3 linked regions of the Schizosaccharomyces pombe genome follow. Each later gene encodes a partner of the first gene's protein in a complex. Each region holds a gene or a part of one and is shown on either strand. Other genes may lie near its edges.

Region 1 (6,016 bases):
ATAATGCAGAAAATAGTGGTTCTTCAAAGAATGAGGAAGTTTCAGCAACAATGGAAAATTTAATATCTCAGCTACAGAAAGGTTTGTGTGATGATTCTTTAAGCAACAAAACCGATTGCACTGAATCATCGAAACAAACAATCGAAACTCTAATGAATTATGAAAATGATAAACAAACTCTAGAAGGCTCAAATAAAAAGAGACAAACAGTCGTCCTTAAAGCTGAATGCATGCTTAAGCAGCTGGAGAATAACAATGAACTTAAGAGATAATGATGTTTGAAATGTTAATGACTTTTAATGACAATTAAATGACTTAAACAAATTATAATGAAATTATAATTAATAAAAGGTATAATTATTAATTCTAGTAAGACTGTAATGCTTGTTAAAGATAGAATTAAGCATCTAAAGGATAACTTTTCTAGTAATCTATTTTGCTCGGGAAATCTTAAAGTAATCAGTAAATACATCAGTTCCAACTTTTAATGATTCTTGAACGTCGTCCCAGGTACTACGCTTTTCCTCTTCTCGAGTTCCCCTATTTTTTTTGTCTTCTTTGAGCCATTCCAAACATGTCTCTAGAAGGGCGCTATTTCCCGTAGAGGACCTTGTCATCAGAGCACCAAACTTGGATATTGGTCCATAATCCACGATACGCCCAAGACTGAGATGGACCAAGTGAGTTGGCCACTCAGCTAAACCATCAAATATATGTGTTGCATAAACAATAGTAGCATTCCTTACTTCCGTTTCCTCTTGCAAAAAATTTAACAAATCTGCCCGGGCAAGAACATCCAAATCTACAGTTACTTCATCAAGTAAAAGTACTTCAAATGGACGCAGAAGTCCCATACATAGTTGAACACGTCGTCTTTCACCATCGGACACTGCATGCATTCGCCAACGAAGATCTATATCAAGAATTGAAATCAAGAAATCCCTACGTTCGGCAAATTTATCTCCTCCAACAGAAGCAATTAATCGTGCAACACTCATATCCCTATGTATAACAGGGTTGTTAACCCATTCTACAAACGCACACATCAGTAAAATTTGATGTTAAAAGAACTTACCAGTTCCTAAATAAACAAATGCAGAACTAGACTCACGAAAAGGATCTTTACCACCCACCGATATATGTCCTGCTTTCGCAAGCGATTTTCCAGATAAAAGTTTAAGTAAAGTTGATTTTCCTGTTTAACAAAATTCCAAGAGGACATCAGTTAGCATTTAAATATTCTTCATCAATTTCCATAACACCGCGAAACTTACCAGCTCCATTGGCTCCAACAAGTAAAGTCCTTGATCCTTTAGGAAGATCTAAAGTTACGTGATCAAGACTTAAAGGCTGCTTTGGAGAAAACGTGTAAGAGAGGTTTGAAACAGTTACTTCCATTTTGAAATAGAATGTTTTAACAGTAGTAAAATATAATTATCTAAGAACTTAGTTTTACAATATATAAAGGATCCAAAAAAAGGCGCAAATTAAATAACACTCAAACTTTGTGGGTTAGCTGGATTGTGTTTAGTACATCTGTGTATCAAGTAAAGTGTGGAGGGAATGCAGTAAAGTTGTTATAAGCAAGACCTCGTACTAATAAATTAGCTTTCCAAGTCTTTGTAAAGAACCTTTTTTAACTATTAAGTAATGCTGCCCATATTTGGAGATGCTATTAAGACCTTGAACACACATCCTGCGGAGTCTTGGAAAGAAAAATGATTAACATCGATGGAACAATTGGCAAACAATATATATAGGAGATAGAAGCAGATAACATTTGTAATCAACTACAATTTATGCTACATATTATTTGGCTTAAAACTAAGTAATAATACTTTCCTAAGGTCACCCCATTTCGTTTAAGACAACAGACAAACCTAACATTCGCATGGAATTTTTTAACAGCAGGCGGACATTTCTCAAATAAAAAAATATAAATATAATATTATTTCATTCCTGCTAAACGATTTTAGCTTTTCAACGTAGTATTGCCCATATCATTAGACTTAATATATTAAACAACAAACAAACATCGATATGGGCGAAGGGCTTTATATAACGCGGTACGTAAAATAGTCTTACCTCAAACCGTTTTCTCACACCGTGATTTTAATTGAATTAAGTATTACTATTTTTCGGTTCTTTAACCAATTGTTTTAATTAGATAGTGTACATTTTTCGTGAAAAAAAAGAACCATTAATATCAGCACTTAATTATTCACTTTAATGAGCAGCAGAAGAAATGACTACCACTATGATGGAAACGACCACCAGTATCGTAGTCCTTTGAAATCAAACGTTGATCAAAACAGTTTTTATGAATCTAGTTATAGGAGCCGACAATCCTACCATCAAAGAACAAAAACACCCAGATCTAGTTATGATTCACCCTCTTCATCTACAAATTCCAAGGAACACAATTCTCCCTATCATTATAGAGTCCCTAGCAATAATTCAACAAGAGCGTCTTTTGGGGCAGCTTCTACGGATACGAATGTAGAATTGCCGAAGATTAATCTTCCAGACTCGAGTTTGTCAAGTAAACTTCAAAGCTGCAAGTCTGCGTGCGAGAATTCATCCCAGAGTTTATTGAATGTCGAACAACAATACGCTCAACAAGTACATTTTTGGGAAAAAATTAGAACGGATATATACCGAGAAGGTCTACGTAGTGATGCAGCTGTAAAAAGCTTAAACGATTTTGTAAATAATGTCAGCTTCTAAATAAATTATTGCAATCATCGTCTGCGTACAAATCATTGAGCTTCCGCTTTGTGGATATTATTATGACTTTTTATTGAAAGTTTTATCCCAAACCCATATTTATAAACATGAATGTTTTTGTATAGCGTTTTTTTTTTTAAAAAAAAAAAATAAAAATAAAAAAACGCTTCATACACTCTAAACATTCTCAGACTACTTCGGTTCTCTCCCTTTTAACGTATAATATGCATTTTAGATTTTCTGAAGTTTCATTACGGTGAAAGTGCTGTAATGGACACAGCGTTCTAAATGTCTTCTTTTTTAATTTTCAAAAACAAACTCGAAAATAACAAATTTTCGCCTTGCATATCCAATAAACGAATATGTCTATAGCCTTGTTGCAGTCTGTCAATCGGACAAGTAAAATTAGCAAATATAGAGTCATTTCCATTACTTCCTCGATGATGGACGAGAAATCGGATCATGGAATAAAAGTCATCACTAATTATACTCTCATAAACCATGGTTTCTCCCCAAAAAGGTCGAAATCCATTTTCGTGCACAACTTTGGAACACCAACGAAAAGGAGATTCTTCCATTGAATGAACTTGGATCTCAACATAAGGGCTGAGAGTTTCAGAATTAGAAAGTTCTCTAGCTCTTCTAAGTTGTTGCCCAGATATGACATCTATTGTTAATTTTATTTTACGAGGAAGTCCTTCTTCGCCAACTGTTGTACCAATTATTCGTTGACAAGGTGGCTTTAACAAGTACCCAGTCGGAGGATCAGCTATAAACAAAGCATCATTTATTTGAAGACCTGTATCATAAGTTTGCCAGTTTAGAGCAACCATTTGCACACCCAGGCGCCAATACACCTGAGGATTAAAATTTGTACTTCCTACTCTCAATGGGCCAGGGTATACACGACACAAATAGCGTAAATTATGTTTGCTAAGTCTTGGAACCATAGCTTTTCCATGCTTTTTTATAGTCCTTTCCGAAAATGAGAATATGTGGCTATACGTTTTTGATTCCGGTAAAGAAAAATTTCGAAATTTCAATGATCGGGCATAAGGTGCAAGCTGTTGCAATTCCTGCACAATGATATTTTTCATCCGTCTTTTACCTTTCCTTAACCCTGTTAATTCTGAATTTTCTAGCTCCGATGATTCGGTAGTATCAGTCGAAGAATCAGTTATCCCAACCTTCAGTATGTCTGTCGAAAATTGGTGCAATGGTGTTGCTGAACATTTGACTTTCAGCAAAATTTTGTTCAGTAAATCTTCGGGTGAAGGAAGAACTGATTCGTTAGCGGTAACGGGTTTCATCACCAAAGTATCCCCAAATGCTTGTTTCATGTAACTAACCATTTGACGTTGTTGGTCAGGGCAGCAATGAATTTCCAAAGAAATGAATAATGGATAAGGTGAAACGACGAAAGCATATTTTCGTATAGCATCAATAACATCATTAAATTTTATCATAGAAGTAAATGTATGTCCATGACAAACTACAGGACCATTCGGTCCATCCCAGCAATCGATTTCAATACACTTGCAGCCACGCTGTAGCGAACGGATATAACCTTCAATTGAACTTTCTCCACCAAACTGCTTACCTAGTAAATAAGTGTTATGCGACGAAGAAATTAAGTATTCATTCAGTGGTCGCGACATATCTTGTATCACAGGAACTACTGGAGAATTATGAGGAGAAAGTAGAAAGGAAGTAAATTCTATCAAACCCATTTTTGAATCATCATTTGAGCAAAAAGAGACATACAAAGTCCTAATTGAGTCACTATCCAAACGAGCCTTTTGAGAAGTTGATAGAAAGTGACGAAACTGTTCCAAAGACATCTTGTCAGAGCCAGATGTATATTCTTTAAAAATATCTACAATCTCGGATCTTGTTTTTAAAAGGCTTACAAAATGCTGAAATTCTTCAAAACTTAGCTTTCCAGAATGATCAGCATCTGCCTTTTGAAATGTTTCTTCTAAAAACTCCATTGATGCATTCAAATGTAGCATTTGGCACATGCGATGCACGTCTCCTAGATCCAACTGTGCACTTTGCTCCTTTTCTAACTTTTCCCAGGGATTTAAATTCTCTGAATAATCTATCATTTTTTCACCTTGATGGCAAACGAGATTAAGTCCAATAATAAATTCATTCAATCGATAAGTTTTTAGACCTTCTAAAGCCATAATCCATTGATTATGCGCATCTAAAGTTGGAGATATCATATGCATAGCCTTTAATTTATTATCAGCACAATATATAATTGTGAACCAGCGTTTCTCGTTCTCAGAAGAAATTTTGTACTGTTCTCTATAATTACGAGCATCGCGGCCCTGTCGAATTTCTTTAATGTCATCAACACAAAGCTTCTTATAAGCTTTACCAGTATTCTTGTCCAGCATAAGATATCCAGATATAGGGTCTAAAGAGACTTTACGTTGGCGCACCTTTTTCTTGGTTATACGAAGTAAAGAGCATCCGTTTTGAATAGATTCAGGGACTATAGTAGCTAATAGCTGTCGAGAATTAAAGTTTTGATTCACCGAGCTCAGAGTAGATAAGTTTTCGTTACTATCGCATGAGTAAGGGTTCATTGAAGTATTTGTTCTCGCAGAATTCATTCGACCTTGCAAGCGTAGCAAAAGATTTAACTTCAGAGAAAGCCAATTCAATCCTCCATGGAATTTATTTTCTGAAGCTGATGTCGATTTCGTACTCAGAAAAGAAGATAAAGAATTTGATCGTTTACGTAGAGTACTATGAGCATCGCGATCCCTTGATGATAGCATCTTAAAGAAATCCTGCTCCGATTTCTTCCTATTGCCAACATATGGGAGATCCAAAGCAGCATTATCTAAGGTTTTACTCCTCGTCTGAGCAACTGCGTTTTCTGAGCAATCGGGCAGGCAAAATGGACTTACTGCTCTGTTGGAGTCTCCTAAGTTGACCGATTCAGGCGACGTTACCATTTCACAATTCATTATGATATCTATTTAAGGATTTACACCGCCATTGGCTTTTTGATCATTATGTTGATATTTAAAAGTTCTTCGGTTTTTCGGTTTTCATTCAGCAACAATACGCCGTGTATGTGTCAATAAAGATAAGTGGATAGCACTCAAAATTGCATATGAGCATAGATTCAATCCACCACTTTAAATCAAGTAAGCCTGATATTATTATAGGGACAAAAATTAGTTGTTTTCGGAACTTTTACCTCTTATATCGTAGGAGCTTACATCCGAGACTTTTGTTAACGTTAGTGGCAAGCGCGCTTTGGTTTAAT
Region 2 (6,128 bases), on another chromosome or scaffold:
TTCTTCCCCTTTGTTGATAAAACTGCTAATATCATTCACTTCAATCATTCTATTCAATGCTCCAGCAGTTTGTTATCTAAAGTATAAGGACGCTTTTTTTAAAAATTATGGTGCAGTGGAATGGACATTATTTGGATTTTGGTGTTTTGTTTGCACTTTGGCTTTAATATTCTTGACTTGTAAGTGAGACAATGGGGTTATTCTTACCTTCAGTCACTAACTCATCAGACTTCTATGAAACTTGGACCAAGGCAGTTAAAGTAACTGTAATTTCCTTGGCACAATGTGTAAAAGTGACTGCAGTTTTCTTGGCAAAATGTGTAAAGGTAACTGCGGTCGGCTTGTACAACTCAAGGGAAAAATGGGTAGTAATAATTTGGCTATTATGGGTAGTCATTTGCTATACACTTTTTCTTCGCGCCAAATTCGGTAATTTGAACTTAGACAAGGCTCTCATCTGTTCTACATGCAGTATTTCAGCTGCTTTACTTTTATTTTTACTATATGGTATGTGAAGTTATGGAGTTACCATTACTGACCGCTAACACGCAGTTCGTCTTCCATTTTGGACACTCAAGCATATGTTTTCTGGTTTGTTTCAAGTACTGGGTGTACAAAGTTGTGTCGTTATTGTACAGAAAGGTTTGATGCATTTATTTGATAAACATATCGACGGGACAGGCTACGAAATTGAAGCCTCTTCACTCTTTGTTATAGGAAATTTTCTTTTCTTTTACGAAATGGGTTTGTTTAATATTCCTGTAATTTACTCTAACCGTATCAGAATGTCCAGGTGCTCTCAAAAGGATGCCCAAATTTATCAGGAATGGTATAGCTTCTTTCCTAGGTATGTGTATTCAACCAACTGTATGAATGATTTTTTACTTACCCGACTAGGAGGTATAGCAAATGCGATTGGAGGTGCCAACGATAATAATGACATTCCCTTGGAAGAAACGGAGGCCGAAAGCGAAGTCTAATTGCTTTATTAATGTAGTTGTCGCTACAGTTGGAAAACCTCTTTACCAAAATCACCAATGCAGAGAAGCTGCGGCGTTTTTTAAAAAATTAGCACCAACTTTCTTTAATCATCCTCTTTCACTATAAGTTTATGGAATATATGCTTAACTTATTCTTTCAATTACCAAAGATTTTCAACCAATGCATTCTACGATGTTGGATAATGTGCATTGAGGACCGAAGTCTTTATTTATAATGTATGCGAGTCTAATTATTTGTCTTTTTTAATGGTACTCTACGCTACAAACAATAATGGTTTAACTTGTTTACGACAACTTTAAATCAACTAATGAAATCGGAAAACTCGTTGTTCCACCTTGTTAAATTCACAATTTCATTGTCGTTGTTACATTCATTTCTCCTTCATCTTGATTCTTAATTTAATCAAGCTTAATAATCATTTTTCCCTTCTGTTTAATGGTTCAATTCAAACAAAATTTAATGTTTACAAAATAATGAGCAGCATAATAGAATATTGTGGTTTAGAACGATGGTTTGTTATCGTAATTACGTGTAAGCTACGCAGTTTGGTATCTGATTTAAGGATACGTAGAACTGCGGTGAGTTTTCCTTGTGATCTATTATATTACAATACACAGGTTGTATAAGTAGCAACTGAGTATAGGTATTGTATTAACTGGGTTATAATGTTACCTATCACTAGTATAGCTCATAACTGAACCTCGTTCCTCAGTTCAGTGGTAGCTCTATTTATAGTATTCAGATAATATAGATCTGAATAGATTATCATTAAGATTAATCTCCATATCGTATCATACATGGTACGATATATAATTAGAACATGTGACATATAGTGATACGCAACGTAGTGTATCACTATATGTCATATGTTGAAATACTAGTTAAGATCCGCTTGTTGATAATCACAGGTAACTATTCGTCTATGTACATAAATACCCGTTGATAACAGCCATTTATAAATAGCGTTACAACTGAACCTCGTTCCTCAGTTCAGTTATGAGCTATACTAGTGATAGGTAACATTATAACCCAGTTAATACAATACCTATACTCAGTTGCTACTTATACAACCTGTGTGTTGCAATATAATAGATCACAAGGAAAACTCACCGCAATTTTACATTTCGTTAAAGTGGATACCAGATGGATAGTTAACTCGAATTTCTTCAAATACGACAATTTTTCACTAAAGTAGTTTAGTGACTGAGTAAATAGATCGTAAACTCGTGTCTGCCCTCTACCACTTCACTTTTACCCATTTTATTGTATTGAATGGCAATTAACTTAATTCGCTTCGAATTGCATATTTTCAATACGGCAAGTTTCAACTAAGAAGGAGAATTTGAAATAGATCTGTAAAGACGCGTATCTATAACTTGCTTATTCATTACGCGTTATTACGTTTAGTATAAGAAAAATACAGTCTGTCTTTTAGGTTTTGGCTGTTTTCTTTTTTCGTTAAAAAACAAATTGTTCTGAAAAAAAGGAAATTTATATTGATAGGTTGATGTATACGACTTTCGAGAATGTATCAGAATGGTAAACCAGATGCCCCCACAATCTTAGGCCAGAAAAGAGAACTTGAAGATGTAGAAATACAAGATGATGATATTCAGGTATGTTAACGTGTTGAGCCTTTAGGCATTCGAATGTTAAGACATGTCGCTAACTCTGTTAAAGGAAGTCTCTAAAGAAGACTTATTAAAGGATGTAAGAGTGAGGAGCATTCAATTTGATGAGTTAGAAAGTAAAATAGAGGGACTTCAAAATTTAGCAGAAGAGAAATTAAAAGTTTTAGCTACTTTGGTCTCTTGGTGGCCTGAAATACTTCAGCAGTTTAGCGTTGTGTTTCAAGGCAATGAGCTGAAGGACTTCGAGAGTGAAGGTGTTTTTTCGATTTTGGAGAAATTCCCGGAGCTTTCATACTTCAATGACGCTGTGAAAAATAATAAAACTAAAGCCTTGAGCATCATTCAAAAACTCTTGTCTACTGTTGACTCAAGCACAAATTCGGTCTCCAGAGATCCTTTTTCAGTTTTATCAATTGATGACTCTGCCCTTACTGAGAAATTAAACACCATTAATTTGGATATTGACAAGATTTTAGATGAATTGGATACCACTCGGTCTCAGCTTCATTCAATTATAAAACTACCAGATCGCTCGTCTAGTTTTACTTTGCAATGCATTAATGAATCAGTGAGACCCCAGTCTACTAAAGTGAAAGAGGAAGCAACCACCTCCTCTAAGGGGAAAGATGAAGAAAAGAAAGTTAGCACGGTTGAACAACGTACTCAACTGCAACAATTATCCAGGCTTCAAGACCAACAAAATGGTTTAATGGAGTCTCGCTCACAAAGCCTTAAAATTTTGGATTCGAACGTTAATGAAATGGATAAATTAATTATGGAACGAGAAAACGCATTAAACAACGTCGAAACTACAAACTTGAAAAAATACTCTTCCTTTTTAGCACTTAAAGAAGCTGTTTCTATGACATCTGAGCAGTTACGCGTATTAGAGCACTTATTGTCCGAATGTTCTCACGAAATAAATGTATTGTCGCAACAGTCAAAGAATTTTAACGGTGTTTTTGAATCTTCCTATCAGCCGTTAATAAACGATCTTGATCATCAAATATCTGTTATGCAAAACGATGAAAAAAGAATTAATAACGCAAAGACTGAATTAAGCTTATCCCTTGAAAAGAAGTTGGAAGCTAAAAAGCAAAAAGAGAAGGTCTACAAAGACAAGTTAGATGAACTTGCGAATTTAGAGACAATGGTATTGGAAAAGAAAAAAGCGGTGGCTACCCGTGAAGCTGCAAACAAAATCCGGCTCGTAGACCTTAACGATTTGGAGTTACAAAAAGATCTGTCAACTTACCTTTCTAAAGAGTTGGCTTCTACTGAAAAAGCATTTAGGTTGGTAAAACAGCAAACTGTGAAAAGTAGCCACTCCCATTATCAAGAATTGATAACCAAATTTAGTGTCGAAAAGGAAAAGGCGGAGCAAAAATATTTTCTGACCATGAAGTCTACAGATAGTCTTCATGCTGAAGTAAAGTTACTGCGCCAGAAGTACCAGAAGACCAACGAAATTATCTCAAAAATGTTAAATAGCCAAGACACTGCTGTCCATAGAATAATAGAGTTTGAAGATCAGCTAGCCCGTCTATCATCGGTTCGAAATAACTCTATAAAACAATCAACAACGTTTCAAGTCAAAAAGTCATCTCAAAAATCAACTATTCAAAACCTGGAAGAAAAGGTGTCTTATTTACAGCAATTTATGGATAAAAATAATGCTACATTAACAGACCTTGAATTTCAATGCTCAGATTTATCATCTTCTATAGATATACTTTCCAAGCAAGATGAAGAGCATGAAAAAGAGAAGCGAAAGTTAAAGGATACTGGGGTATCAACGTCAGCTGAAGAGTTAAAAACTTTTAGGGCCATGTGTAAGTGTTCAGTTTGTAACTTCGAGCGCTGGAAAGATCGAATTATTTCTCTCTGTGGTCATGGCTTTTGTTACCAATGCATACAAAAACGGATTGAAACACGGCAACGCAGATGCCCGATTTGCGGTCGTGGATTTGGTGCTTCTGATGTTATTCCGATACATCTTTGAAGAATATGTTTTATTTGTGTAAATTATGTCTTTCAGGAAAACGCTGTATATATAACAAATCATTTTCCTTAATATAATCTTTGAAACTAGGTCACGTAGTTTTTAAACTATCCAATGCATCTATGTTTTTAGTTAATAAATTTATTATTATAAAATCATTACTCGTCATTATAATTAAAATTCTATATTATACGGTTAAGGATTTTTTCTCGCACCACCCACAGTGTTGTCGAACTGAGTTAAAACCGAGCCAATCTTTTTCTGATACTGCCGATAAAGATCGTCCCTTCCGTTTCTTTTTGCATCTTTCATTAATCGCTGGTAATAAATTCGGACCATCTGTTTAACGTCAGGCAAAAGTTCCTTTTTGGGGGCAGCAATGAAGTGCTCGATAATTTTCTTGGCACCATTTTGGTATATTCCAAAGACTCTAGAAGATTTAGGAAATTCAACGTCGCCATGAATTTCCTTAACCGTCTTAAGAATCTGAATCATTGCTGACATATTTTTCAGCATCTGAAGACAGCTGCCTCTATTCATTGATTCTATTTTGTAAAAGATAGAGTATAGCGATGAATCAACCAGTTCACTCAGACCTTGGAATACAAACCTATAAAAAGTTAGCAAATCAATATAAGGAATTCATTTGTTATTTACCTTCGTTCCCATTCATTCAAACAGGTTTCGAGTTTCAAATTCGTCGTCACAATAGTAGAGTTGAGAGCCATTATCGAAGCATCTGGTCTTCCGCGGTACTCGACAACATAGTCAGGAAGGTTTACACTTTGATTAATACTATGAATGTACTGTAACCGAACTTCCATTCGGATTAGCAGTAAAGCATCGAATTGGAGCCTCTGTAAAGAATCAAAGACTTCTTTATATGCACTTTTATAAAAATCAGTATAAAGTTCAATACATACAGTAACATACCCCTTCATTAAATCCGAATTATTACCCAACAAATTATCAATTGGTAAAAAGTCACCACCGAAATTAGCTTGGTTTTGTTGCAAAACGTTCATTCTTCGCGAACCGTTCATAAATCTTGAAAAACAGCGCTGAAGAAACCATTCCATGGAGTTATGAAGATAAGAAACCGAGTTCACTAGGTCGGAATCTTTGGATAAAACCGATACCGGAAGTTTAACTTCGGACGTAATCGCACGATCTTCATATTGTAATAAACGCTTATTCTCCATTCGACAAAGCTCATTTAACCCTTCAAGTGATGGATTTTTTTGCTTGAGGAATTTAATAAATTGAGGGTACGTTACATCGTCGTGAAGTAGCTTTACTCGAACAGTATCATCGACATCTTCAGTATCCTCGTTGACATGTTTGTATTCTTTGAGAACAGCCGTTCTGCACAAATCTATAAAGGGTAAGCTGGGGAAACAGTGAAAAAATGGAAATGAAACATACCAGAGAGATAATCAGAACAATGGTTGCGAAAACGAACAAGCAAAGTATGTAATAATTCATAAAATTCT
Region 3 (4,752 bases), on another chromosome or scaffold:
TAGTTTTATCTGTCGACGATTACGAGTTGGAAACATATTAGCAATTAAAGCAAAATCAGTTCCCCACTGTGATAGAGCCTGCCATGTCAGTAAATACGAGCGCAATTCCTCCATACCTTATAAAATTTTTCAGTATCCATAGCGTTCCATTTCTCAGGTTTCTGCCTATTTCCCCAAGTAGCACTTGTAACCCGACGACTTAAAGAATTTTCTTCAACGTATTCGCGTTCCTCTGCTGGTACAAAATCACGTTCATGACGGTCGACTTCTAGTGAGGTTTCATCCAGAACAATTTGGCCATTAACAACTCGCGTACGAGGAGTTGCAGAGTAATTGGAGTTGTTATTCAAACCATCAACTTCCATTTTATCTGCTAACTGATCAAGAATAGACTTTGTTGGGTGAGAGAGACTATCTTCGAGAGAAGCAGACTCATCCGTACCCTCTTCTTCCAAACTTCCTACTATTTCTTCTTTCTCTTTCGGTTCGCTTGATTCTAGAAGACTGGCACTCAAAGGCTGTTTGATGGTAGAATCTAAAGACGCTTCTCGACTAGAGCTTGCAGTACTTGCTCCTTGTTTTTTAATCCTCTTTGCTCGTTTTTCCTCAAAAAGCATTTTTTCTAATTCGATAAATCGTTGACTTTTGCGGCCAATTCCAGGATCATCACATAAAGCAGACATTTTGGTTTCACTTATGTTAATGATTTTCTCGTCGGTACCCACGTTTTCCAATATCAATTGACTTTTTCTTTTCAAAGAAGATTCTATGATGTTATTAAATAATGCATTTTAGATTAACCCTTTATTTACGTACCTCTATATGAACGGCGAGACTTTTTTGTAGCCGGAGAATCCGCCTTTCCGTCACTAACAGCACTGAGCTGAGAAAGGGGAATGTTCTCATCAAAAAACAAATCTAATTCCTTCATAAATTGCTGTTCGGCTGAAGAGGATAAATCGGTTTCAGGCGACAAATGCTCAATAGCATTTAACGGCTGCTCAAGAACCGTTGGCTTAGAAATTTTAAAAGTAGGATTTGAATGCAAAAGTTTTTCATTTTGTTTCACTGAATCATCTTTTCTATAGGATGAAGCTGTGGGATTTTCAGTTGCCTCTTTGTGAACTACTGTTTGCACAACCGGACTAGAAATATCAGCATTGGCAGTATCACGAGACAGCTGAGCGGATGTTTCTACTTCGTTTCCTGTGAGGGGTTGATTTTTTTCTTCATGAACAACCTCTTTTTGGTCCGATACTTTCTCTCTACGGGCTGTAAATTTAGGGGCAAACCTTGACATTGATTTTTCTGGTAAAACATTAGTGGAAAGCCCTACTACTTAAAAAAACGTACTTGTAGGTGAGGTTAATATTTGCGAGCTCATTGAGTCTGTTTAGACTGTAACTTCGACTCAATTGCATGAATTTCAAAAATTATGTGGCAGTGCGCATATGTTTGTACAAACATTTGCCTGTTGTCCATGAACCAGTAATATTTTAATAAAGAGGTTATATCCTGGGTATAACTGTACAACGAAACCAAGCAAGCCCGTCTGAATAGATTAATATATATGTGTAAAAAGTTTTATAGTCGCAATGATTGAGTAAGATATAAAATTAACTAAAGGTAGAAATAATCAGGGTCAGCCTCGAACAAACTTAGTTATTATAAAACGCTGGAAATGTAAGCTATAGTTTACAGATAAAGCAAGAAAATACTTTACACTAATATGAATAGTAGAATAAATTCAGCAATTTAGATAACCACCGAAGGAATTGAAGAAGCCATTGTCGTTAGCTAATGTTTATTTTGTCATTGCCAATATTAATTATATTATACAAATTACTACTTCGTAGGCGACTTTAAAGACAGGCATAACTAAGGTAAAGAAACATATTATTATAGCGAGGAATCTATTTGACTCACTAACGAGACATGACTACCATGTACAGATAACCTGAAAAAACTCATTAACCGTAGGAATTGGCTTAGTGAATGTTAATGAGCACATATTTTGATCCTAAGTACTTTATTTTAATTATAAAATAGAAAAGGAATTTTTTTGAAGTGGAATGAGCGTTGTGAATGAATCGAGGAAAAGAAGACGTCTTATTCACAGCGAAAAAGAAACGCGTCGTTTAGACCTCGGAGAAGAAGATGACTTAGAGTTATTTCAAAAGGAAGCAGCTTGGCGAAGATCTAGAGAGTATGAGCATCTCACTGTTTTGGAAAAGAAATTATACGAGTATTGGGAATCTCTAGTTTTGAAACTTGATCATTACGTTGCTGCTGCTCTGGAAAATCATGAACAATCATTTGAAGAACTAGAGAAAATCACTGCTTCTTTATATCAACCTGATGATAATTTACAGACACTAGATTTGTCACTTGCTGAGTTCAGTTTAATCAAAGATGCGCAAAACTATTTGAATAAGTATGCTTCCTATTTTCAAGCCCATGAACCTACTCTACAAAAGTTAGCTAAATTTGGTTCTTTTAAATTAAAAGAAACTCCAAACGTCCATGAATGGATAGACCAACGCCAGGTTCATTTTACAAGTATGATTAATTACCGTACTAGCCAACTTAAGTTGGCACTCCTAAAAAGGAAACTTTCCTTCTTTCGTGAAGCTTTGAATTCAGCTGAATTAGAATGGAAACGGGTGCAGCAAGATCAGCTTACTAGTGCTTCCGAAAGAAGTATTGAAAATATCGCTGATGATATCCCTGCTTCGGAACCAAAAGCAATTCTCGAAAATGGGGAAGGATGTTTAAATGATAATGATAATATTTCAAAACTAAAAAACAATTTTCAATCTCAAGCTGATTTGATGCAAGCAAATATAAATTCCAAATTGGATGAACTTTCTCAAAAATCAACTCGTGCAGCACAATTGTACGTCGACATTATGGGTATAACGGATGAAAGAGTGAGTAGAGAGCCCCATTATTTAGAGCTGAAGGGGGTTCTTTCTTCAAATGAAGAGAAAATCGAATCCATTAATCGGGACCTCTCTTCATTGTTTGAGGACATTCAGTTTTTTATTTCTCAACGGACGAAACGACAGAAGGATATTATTGATTTAAAATTGGCATGTGTAAAAGAGAAACAACAACTTATTAAAACCCTTGAATCATCTTTAACCCAAATTCGTAACGAACGAGACTCTCTAGTGGCGAAACAACAAATGCAATATACTAACAATCTATTTTTTGACGATATGATGCTTTTATTAAGCAACTTGTCAAACGCTCGGGTTGCAATTCTAGAAGGTTATTCAAATCGATTGTGCATATGGGATCGTATTGAAAGGTCTAAGACTGGTGAGATGAATAATGTCCTAGATGAAAAAGAAGAAATTTCTGCGTCTTCAGCTTTGGAAAAACTAATAAAAAATAATAGTTGTTTGGAGGCTGAACTCCCAAGTATGTATGCAGCATTTGATCAATCACAATCTCGTTTGTTGAAGAAATATGAAGAACTTGAAACGAAGGAGAAAAAAGCTTTGGAAATGCATTATGAAAAGGCTCGTGCCACCCAAAAATATTTTGCTGCCATGAAAGCTCGGGACATTCTTATGACAGAGAAGAAAACTCTTAAACTGGCCGAAAATAAAGAACATGATTATATAGGGAAGTTGCAAGAGCGAGAACATGCGCTAACAAAATATGAATCCTCTTTAAAAGCTGAATTGGAAGTTTATAAACAAATAAAGGAAATCTACGGGAAACACTCGGTCGAAGTTTTAACAGAAGATAAGCACTTACAAGTTAAGCAAACAAAACTTACTCAAAAACTTGAAGATCTTATAGAGTCTGTTCAAAAATCTGGGGAAAAGCTTATGATCATGCATCAGAAGTTGTTTCATTTGCAAGAAGAGCATACTATTTTATCCATAAAAGCTTCGTATAATAAGAAAGAGTCTCATCTTATAAACCAGGCATATGAAACACAAGAGGCTCAAGTATACAAAGGAATGTTAAAATGCTCCGTGTGCAACTTTTCTAATTGGAAATCTAAACTCATTCCAAACTGTGGTCATGCCTTTTGTTCTAATTGTATGGAACCTTTTTATGAGCATAAAACAAGTACATGTCCGCAGTGTGAAACACCTTTTTCGGTTTCCGACATTTTGACCATTCATCTTTAATTCTAGATCATCTTTTATATGATTAACGTAATGTTTTTGTTATTTTGGTACATAATATATTTTTTGGCATCAATAGTTATTGAAAGAATAGTCAATCCTATATACATATATATATATATATATATATATTTATTTATTTATTTACATATAAATATGTATGCTTTTTTTAATAAAAAACTAGTAATATCTATCAATTTGATTAACTTATTCCATTAAGCAACTTCGTTCATTCATATGCTAGTTTCGCAAGTCTAGCATCATGACTCACTCTCCATTATCCATGTGCCAAAAATAGAGGGTGTGTATCTGTAGCGACTGTAACTAGCGAAATAGGAAACAATTAATTACTATTAATTATTTTTTTAAATATTGGTAAATTAATTTATATTGGCAGCGGAATTATAATAATTCATCTCATTTTCTATTGATACGCGTGCAATCCCATTGAACAATGAGTCTGGCCGAGGATTGGATTGATCCTAATTCTTCTGAAGATTCAGATATTCAAGAAGATGCGGAATTGGAATACACAGCTGATAATCCCGAAAAGGAGCAAAGAGGTGTATTTTCCTTAGAGAAGGTGCAACTGCAGTTCCCTGTT

Evidence for each region.
Region 2: shf1 (region 1) and brl2 share a complex: the UniProt entries of both Schizosaccharomyces pombe proteins name them as parts of the histone H2B ubiquitin ligase complex.
Region 3: shf1 (region 1) and brl1 share a complex: the UniProt entries of both Schizosaccharomyces pombe proteins name them as parts of the histone H2B ubiquitin ligase complex.

Annotation. Positions count from the first base shown.
Region 1 is NC_003424.3:4,807,481-4,813,496, reverse strand, and holds shf1 (histone H2B-K119 ubiquitin ligase complex (HULC) subunit Shf1), read left to right. Parts: upstream 1-2,088; 5' UTR 2,089-2,229; coding exon 2,230-2,727; 3' UTR 2,728-3,011; downstream 3,012-6,016. Other genes in the region: formin Fus1, read left to right, coding at 1-272; CCR4-Not complex subunit Caf16, read right to left, coding at 432-1,030, 1,076-1,195, 1,275-1,398; phosphoinositide phospholipase C Plc1, read right to left, coding at 3,012-5,711. UniProt on the Schizosaccharomyces pombe protein: Component of the histone H2B ubiquitin ligase complex (HULC) which plays a role in transcription regulation by catalyzing the monoubiquitination of histone H2B to form H2BK123ub1.
Region 2 is NC_003421.2:487,540-493,667, forward strand, and holds brl2 (histone H2B-K119 ubiquitin ligase complex (HULC) subunit, ubiquitin-protein ligase E3 Brl2), read left to right. Parts: upstream 1-2,241; 5' UTR 2,242-2,528; coding exon 2,529-2,618; exon of another isoform or gene 2,619-2,682; coding exon 2,683-4,635; 3' UTR 4,636-4,830; coding exon of another isoform or gene 4,831-5,245; 3' UTR 5,246-5,292; coding exon of another isoform or gene 5,293-5,523; 3' UTR 5,524-5,568; downstream 5,569-6,128. Other genes in the region: wtf antidote-like meiotic drive suppressor Wtf9, read left to right, coding at 1-179, 229-507, 553-744, 785-847, 898-980; sec8 (exocyst complex subunit Exo4), read right to left, coding at 4,831-5,245, 5,293-5,523, 5,569-6,010, 6,061-6,128. UniProt on the Schizosaccharomyces pombe protein: E3 ubiquitin-protein ligase which belongs to the histone H2B ubiquitin ligase complex (HULC) which mediates monoubiquitination of histone H2B to form H2BK123ub1.
Region 3 is NC_003421.2:2,237,903-2,242,654, forward strand, and holds brl1 (histone H2B-K119 ubiquitin ligase complex (HULC) subunit, ubiquitin-protein ligase E3 Brl1), read left to right. Parts: upstream 1-1,944; 5' UTR 1,945-2,072; coding exon 2,073-4,151; 3' UTR 4,152-4,252; downstream 4,253-4,752. Other genes in the region: transcription factor TFIIIB complex subunit Bdp1, read right to left, coding at 1-78, 117-766, 817-1,308, 1,354-1,384; pep3 (ubiquitin-protein ligase E3), read left to right, coding at 4,603-4,752. UniProt on the Schizosaccharomyces pombe protein: E3 ubiquitin-protein ligase which belongs to the histone H2B ubiquitin ligase complex (HULC) which mediates monoubiquitination of histone H2B to form H2BK123ub1.